Canis lupus familiaris: one gene and its partner. The protein of the gene in region 1 interacts with the protein of each later gene in a pairwise test. Links are inferred from orthologs where the notes say so. Each region holds a gene or a part of one and is shown on either strand. Other genes may lie near its edges.

Region 1 (3,576 bases):
CACAGAGACATAGGCAGAAGGAGAAGCAAGCTCCCTGTGGGGAGCCTGATGCAGGACTCTATCCCAGGACTATTATTAAAAAATAATAATAATAGTAATAATAAAATTTAAGAAATATTCAGGGCAGCCCTGGTGGCTCAGCGGTTTAGCGCCGCCTTCAGCCGGGCCTGATCCTGGAGACATGGGATTGAGTCCCACGTCAGACTCCCTGCATGGAGCCTGCTTCTCCCTCTGCCTATGTCTCTGCCTCTCTCTGTGTCTCTCATGAATAAATAAAATCTTTAAAAATATATATTTAAAAAAATTAAGAAATTTTCAAATCATGGGTGCCTGACTAAGTCAGAAGAGTTTGCAACTGTTCATCTCAGGATTGTGAGTTCGAGCCCTGTGTTGGATATAGAGATGACTTGAAATTTAAAAAAGATTTCAAATCAGTATGTTGTACACCTGACACTAATATAATATAACATGTTAGTTATACTTAAAAAGTAGTATACATATAATAATGAGTTATAGATGAAAGTCAATTTGAGGGACGCCTAGGTGACTTCGTGGTTGAGTGTCTGCCTTTGGCTCAGGTTGTGATCTGTGATCCCAGGGTTGGGATCAAGTCCTACATCAGGCTTCCTGTGGGGAGCCTGCTTCTCCCTCTGCCTAGTCTCTGCCTCTCTCTCTGTGTCATGAATAAATAAATACAATCTTTAAAAAAAAAAAAAAGTCAATTTGAAACATAAAGGAGAAATTTCAGGCATGTGAATTCTTACCAGTTTTTTAATAGTCTGTTTCGTGATTGCCAGAATTAAATTCCTCAGGTTGTTGAGGAAGTCACAATTGTGGAAGGTTAAATGGATGGCAAATTTTAAAAGTTAAGATCTATGGTCATGCCCGAGTGCCTGGGTGCTCTGTTGGTTAAGTGTCTATTTCTTGGTTTAGGCTCAGATCATGATCTCCAAGACCTGGGATTGTGCCCCATGTTGGGCTCCGTGCTCAGCACAGTCTGCTTGGGATTCTGTCCCCCTCTCCCTCTGTTCCTCCCCATGCTTGAGCTCTCTGTTTCTTTCTTAAATAAATAAAGTACAATCTTAAAAATACAAGGTCATCTTTAAAAAAATAAAATTCATTGAGGATAAACAGCAAGGGAGAAGGGCTCCCTCAGAGAAATGACATGTTATTTATCTCATTTCCTGTCCTAGGTGCTGTAAGAAGCCATCTTTCTGACTTCAAAAAACACCGAGCTGCTAGAATTGACCACTATGTTGTTGAAGTCAATAAATTAATAATCAGGTTAGAGAAGGTAAATTTTGTTGTTTTAAAACTTTTTTTTGCTACAAGTATACATTTTCTAGGAGAAAAAAATATTTCTGCAGTGTTTATTGTGTGTGTTGTATATATTTGACACTGGCAGAGAAATGCCCCACCTCAAGCCCACTTAGAGAGGTACAGAGGACATGATTGACAGTTCTAGCCTGGGCCTGTTTTACTGTAGGAGATGGCCCATGTTGATAGACTTGCCACATATCCAGATTGCCTTATCCTTTCTCTGAAGCCCCCTTGGCTGCCAGAAAACCTTTCTACCTTCAGGTTATTTCCTCTTTTAAGTGTCTAAAGTATAGTCATGCAGTGGGGGCATAGTGTGTGATATCGATAACAAACAGAAGCTGGTAACAAGGTCTGTGAGGAGTACTCAGCCAGGCCAGCATTCAGTATGGGAACATCTGGACTGGGCCTTCTCATCCTGTGGTACCAGGGTGTGTCTTTTAACACCTACAATCACTCTGTTGTACTTTGACCCTAGAAATGCTTATTGTGTATAACCTGGATTGTATGGTGGGCATGGTAGCAATTGCAAGTGTAGAGTAGAAATATGTGGCCAGTTTCATTGTCCATGAGGACTGTGGAGAGTCGGGAGTTCCCCATTGCTCTCAGTTAGCCACACCCACCATATCCTTGCCTACCCCTGGTTATTGCTTAAATGGAGAACTGACAATAGAGGGATTGAAATCAGATCAGGGGAAGGGAACTGCCCTCTATATGAGAAGCTAATACTCTGTCCAATGTGAATTTGCGGGGTTGGGGATGACAGATGATACTTGAGAAATGAAGATGTGAGAATTTTTGCTTGATGCCTCTTGCCTGTGGAATATGTATACATCACCTGTTTAATTCTATTTGGCATTGTTTTCTCCTTGTCAGCTCACTGCATTTGACAGGACAAATACTGAGTCTGCTAAGATACGAGGTAACTCTAGAATTTTGCTCACATTCATTCTAATTATCTTTCTCCCTGACCAAACCTCTTTCTAAAATGGCTAGGTTTTCTGTTTGTTTGATTTTTGTTTTGTTCTTCCCAAAGCAATAGAAAAGTCCGTGGTGCCTTGGGTCAATGACCAGGATGTCCCTTTCTGTCCAGACTGCGGGAATAAGTTCAGCATCCGTAACCGCCGCCACCACTGCCGCCTCTGCGGGTCAATTATGTGCAAGAAGTGTATGGAGCTCATCAGCCTCCCTTTTGCAAGTAGGTAACATGGAGGTGGGGCTGTGGATCCTGATCTATTCTTGTGACTAGCTTGTTTGCTAATCACCACCAGGTGATCTTTTGAATGTTTTTGTTTAAGTAACTTTCCCTTGGGATCTTCATCCATTCATTTGTTGATTCCATGAAGCCTGCTATAGGCCAGGCATGATGCTAGGGTCCAGGGATACAGTGGTAGATAATAAGGGCAGGCAAATTTTTTCTGCCCTTATCAGGCAGAAAAAGATAGTAAATATTTAAGCTTTATGGGCTACAGTGGTCTCTGTGACATTTCTTCTTTTTTTAAATGATTATTTGTTTGTTTGTTTATTTAAAGATTTTATTTATTTATTCATGAGAGACATAGAGGCAGAGACACAGGCAGAGGGAGAAGCAGGCTCCATGTAGGGAGCCTGACGTGGGACTCCATCCAGGGACTCCAGGATCATGCCCTGGGCTGAAGGCAGGCACTAAACTGCTGAGCCACCCAGGGATCCCCTTTAAATGATCTTTTAAAAATATTTTTTTAAGGGCAGCCTGGGTGGCTCAGTGGTTTAGCGCCGCCTTCAGCCCAGGGCCTGATCCTGGAGACCTGGGATCAAGTCCCACGTCAGACTCCCTGCATGGGGCCTGCTTCTCCCTCTGCCTGTGTCTCTGCCTCTCTCTCTTTCTCTCTCTATGTGTCTCTCATGAATAAATAAATAAAATCTTAAAAAATTTTTTTAAATCTTTTTAAACTTTTTTAAATAAAAGTATTTAAATAACCTTTTAAAAATCATACTTAGTTCTGGGGCCATATAAAAGCAAGCTGGACTTGGTTTATAGGTCATGTCTGCTCACCTCTGGTTTATAAGGCATTATTCATTCTCCCAAAGGGTCTAGCATCTAGCCGAGGATACAGACCTAGAAACATATTATGGCTTTATAAAGAGATAAGCACTATGAGAGAAGTTGCATCAGATACCCAGGAGAGCTGACCAGATCGTTGTCAGCTGTGCTTGGAAGTGGCAGCTGAGACTTTTGAGGATATTATAACAGAGTCTTAAGAAATGAGCAGCAGGAAA
Region 2 (3,576 bases), on another chromosome or scaffold:
GGGGTTTTCCTTTCAATGTCTTACCCCAATGACGAAAGCTGGCCCCTAGCCTCAGAACCAGGCTGGACTTTTGTCACTGTTCCTGACCAGTAATGCTGTCCTAGGCCAGTTAGCAGCCTTCCTCCTGCCGTGGGGCCGGTGCTAGGAGCCTGCTGTGGTACCTGATCTAACCCTCCCTGTGGTCATAGGAGGAAGAATTGTTATTTAAATTTTACAGAAGTAGAAATGAGAACTCAGAAGTTAAGAACTTCAGATCGCAGTCAGTGGCCAGTGCCGGGAATTGACTCTAGAGCTGTCTTGTTTAAGAGCCTGTGTTCTTTCTGAGCGCTGAAGTGTGGGGAGAAGCTTGGAATGCTGTGCATTCGGGTACACAGACAGCTCTGAAGCACTTAAACCTGGGGGGCTTTATCCAGAAGGTTTATCCATCCCAGCAGACCTTCACCCCCTAGACATGCCCCAGTGTTGACTTTGGTCTTAAAGCCCTTGTGAGTGAGAGGGGCCTAGTTCTGGCCCAAGTGGAAGCAGCCTCTCAGGGACTCTCCTGTGGACTTGTCTTCAGTCTGCGAGGCTTGGCAGGACCAGGAGCAGCTGAATACCACTCTGATGACCAACTCAGCAGGTTCCTCACCGGCAGGGTGGGGAGGGCTGCCCTCCCTCCTCACAGCACTGTGGTCGCTCTGTTCTTTTATTTGTTCTCTCCTTCTACGTGCTACTTTCCTGTAACCCGCGGTCTAGAGAGTATGTCTCCATCCCAGTTTGGTCAGGAGTAGTGGCGTGTTTTGTGAGGGATGCGAGCTAGAAGCAGGCTGTCAGGGGGAGGAGGTTGGTCTGGTCCCGTTTCTGGGCAGCATCTCGGGCTCTTCTCTATAGCAGCAGCTTCTCTGGCTTACTTTCAGGAGCCTGACTGCACTCTGGGATGAATTTGTGCTGGTTAAGAGGGCTGGCCTATGCTTGAGGTGGCCTGTGGGTAGTGGGTGAAGAACGAGGAGGAGCCCAAGGACGAGGAGGCTTGCCCAGAATTACCCAGAGAGGAAATGGCAGCTCAGGGCCTTCAAACCAAGCTTCCCTAAGACTCTCAGGCTGTGGCCATCACATGGTCTTCCTATCTCTCCTCATCTTTTATTCCTAAAAGGTGAGAAATAGAACCATCACTTCTTCTGGAGGCAGTGGTGAGAAGTAGAAACATTTTAAGAGTTGTGATTATAAAACAGGATACAAACTAAACTGCTGTTAGAGAGACCCAAAAATCCATGGGCTTAAATCAGTTATCAGATCATTTACGTGGAAAATAACAGTCCAAGGCCATCTCTGAACTCAAGGTGGTTGCTCCAGTTCCTACCATCACATCTGCATTCCATTCTTCAGGAAGGGAGAAAAGCAAAGGGCACATAAACTTCTTTTGTTCATCTGCTGCAGGAGAGGCTAGGAAATGTGGTCTTAAAAGGAGGGGCCCTGAATTCAGCTGGAACTAGGCTGTTCTGTTATTAAAGGAAGAGCTCCAGTTAGCAGTCTGTGCTATAGTTGGCCACGTCCACTAAAAAGGGCTTCCAGAGGATGGTGGGAAACAGCATAGAAGCATTTAAGACCTAGAGAGGGGAAGTGGTGTGTCACACTTTCTGGCTTGTCATAGGGCAGGGGCCAGCAAAGTTTCTGAAGGGTCAGAGTTAATATCTTTGGCCTGGGAGGCCTGTGGTGTGTGTCACAACAACTGGACTCTGCTATCTGAGACAAGAGCAGCTGAACAGAGGAGTGTGGCTCTGTTCCAATGAAACTAATTTATGGGGGCACCTGGGTGGCTCAGTGGTTGAGCATCTGCCTTTGGCTCGGGTTGTGGTCCTGGGATCGAGTCCCACATCCAGCTTCCTGCTCAGCAGGGGGCCTGCTTCTCCCTCTGCCTGTGTCTCTCATGAATAAATAAATAAAATCTTTAAAAAAAGAAAAAAACAAAAAAAAACACAACTTATTTACAGAACAGGTGATGGGCCAGCTGCAGTTGGCCAGCCCCTGTTGTGGAGAATAAATGAGGTTCCTGGAAAATGGGGGCCCAGCACAAGCACCCCACGAGTAGCAGCTGCAGGTGTTATGGCTGTTCCTTACTGTCCCTGTCATGTAAGGACATCCAGCCAGCAGGTGGCAGACCCCAAGTCTCTGTCCTTCTCGCCACACGGTGCCGAGCCACACTGCTGCGCTCTCCTCTTCACTCTTGACCTGGTCTGAGCTACTTTAGGGCTCAGACTTTGTGACAACTTTTATTTTTTCCTTTCTAAGATTTTATTTATTTGAGAGAGAGTGAGTGAGCACAAGCGGGGGCAGGATCAGGAGATGGAACAAGCAGACTCCCCGCTCAGCAGGGACCCCATGTGGGGCTCCATCCCAGGACCCTGGGATCATGACCCAAGCCACAAGGCAGACGCTCAACTGACTGAGCCACCCAGGTGCCCCTGGGCTTTGTGACTTCTTTTGCATTATTTATCTGTGGCACACCTCTCCTTGCCAGGTGCTGTATGCGCTAGGGTACCGAGTGGGCACAGAAACGGGGGAGCAGGAGGGTGCTGTGCTGACCCCTTGAGTATGTGGTGGAAATTTAAATAAATACCAGCTTGGGTCCGGGAAGAGAGCCATCAGAGCTGCCTGGCCATGGTGCCCCTGAGCTCACCCTGCTCTTCCCGTAGGTTACGACTTCGCAGCTGTCCTGGAGTGGTTTGCTGAGCGGGTCGACCGCATCATCCTGCTCTTTGACGCCCACAAGCTGGACATCTCTGACGAGTTCTCCGAGGTCATCAAGGCCCTCAAGAACCATGAGGACAAGATCCGTGTGGTGCTGAACAAAGCCGACCAGATTGAGACCCAGCAGCTGATGCGGGTCTACGGGGCTCTCATGTGGTCCCTGGGGAAGATCATCAACACCCCCGAGGTTGTCAGAGTATACATCGGCTCCTTCTGGTCCCACCCACTCCTCATCCCTGACAATCGCAAGCTCTTTGAGGCGGAGGAACAGGACCTCTTTAAAGACATCCAGTCTCTGCCCCGAAATGCTGCCCTCAGGAAGCTCAATGACCTGATCAAGCGGGCACGGCTGGCCAAGGTAGACTAGGAGTGGGGGGCTGGGCCCACTGCTGGGTGGGGCCCACGGGGATCCAGGACTGGCACTTGGGGCTCTAGGATTGGTCTGCTTTGGCTTTTGGGGTGCCCAAGACCCATTCCCACAGCTACACCTGTGTGTGCTGTGTCTGAACGAGTCCTCTCTGCACCAATGGGTGTAGCCCTTGATTCTCAGCTGAGTCTTCTTGATGCACGCAGACATTCAGCGGGAAGGTAGCGCTGTGCCCAGGGGCAGCCTGAGAAGTGGGGTGCAGGCGGGGGTGCAACTCCAGTCCTCACCTCCCAGGCCTGTTGAGCCCTCAGCCTGTGCTGGGGACACAGTGGGGACTGACACACACAGTCTTTGCCCTTCCAGCACTCATTGGTGGCAACGGGAAAGTGAACACGTAAAGAAAAACCAAGCTTGGTTTATTTGTCCTGTCATGGTATGCCATAGAAGCCGGCAACTGGGGGGCCTCAGGTGGGTGACGCTGC

The links. The genes of interacting proteins can lie anywhere in the genome.
Region 2: the proteins of RBSN (region 1) and EHD1 interact in binary tests that used the Homo sapiens proteins (3 or more experiments, as listed by UniProt). The link is inferred for Canis lupus familiaris from reciprocal best matches to the Homo sapiens genes RBSN and EHD1.

The regions. Positions count from the first base shown.
Region 1 is NC_049241.1:5,247,570-5,251,145, reverse strand, and holds part of RBSN (rabenosyn-5), read left to right. Parts: intron 1-1,193; coding exon 1,194-1,294; intron 1,295-2,193; coding exon 2,194-2,239; intron 2,240-2,353; coding exon 2,354-2,515; intron 2,516-3,576. UniProt on the Homo sapiens protein: Rab4/Rab5 effector protein acting in early endocytic membrane fusion and membrane trafficking of recycling endosomes. Required for endosome fusion either homotypically or with clathrin coated vesicles.
Region 2 is NC_049239.1:52,810,825-52,814,400, forward strand, and holds part of EHD1 (EH domain-containing protein 1), read left to right. Parts: intron 1-2,672; coding exon 2,673-3,085; intron 3,086-3,576. UniProt on the Homo sapiens protein: ATP- and membrane-binding protein that controls membrane reorganization/tubulation upon ATP hydrolysis. In vitro causes vesiculation of endocytic membranes. Acts in early endocytic membrane fusion and membrane trafficking of recycling endosomes.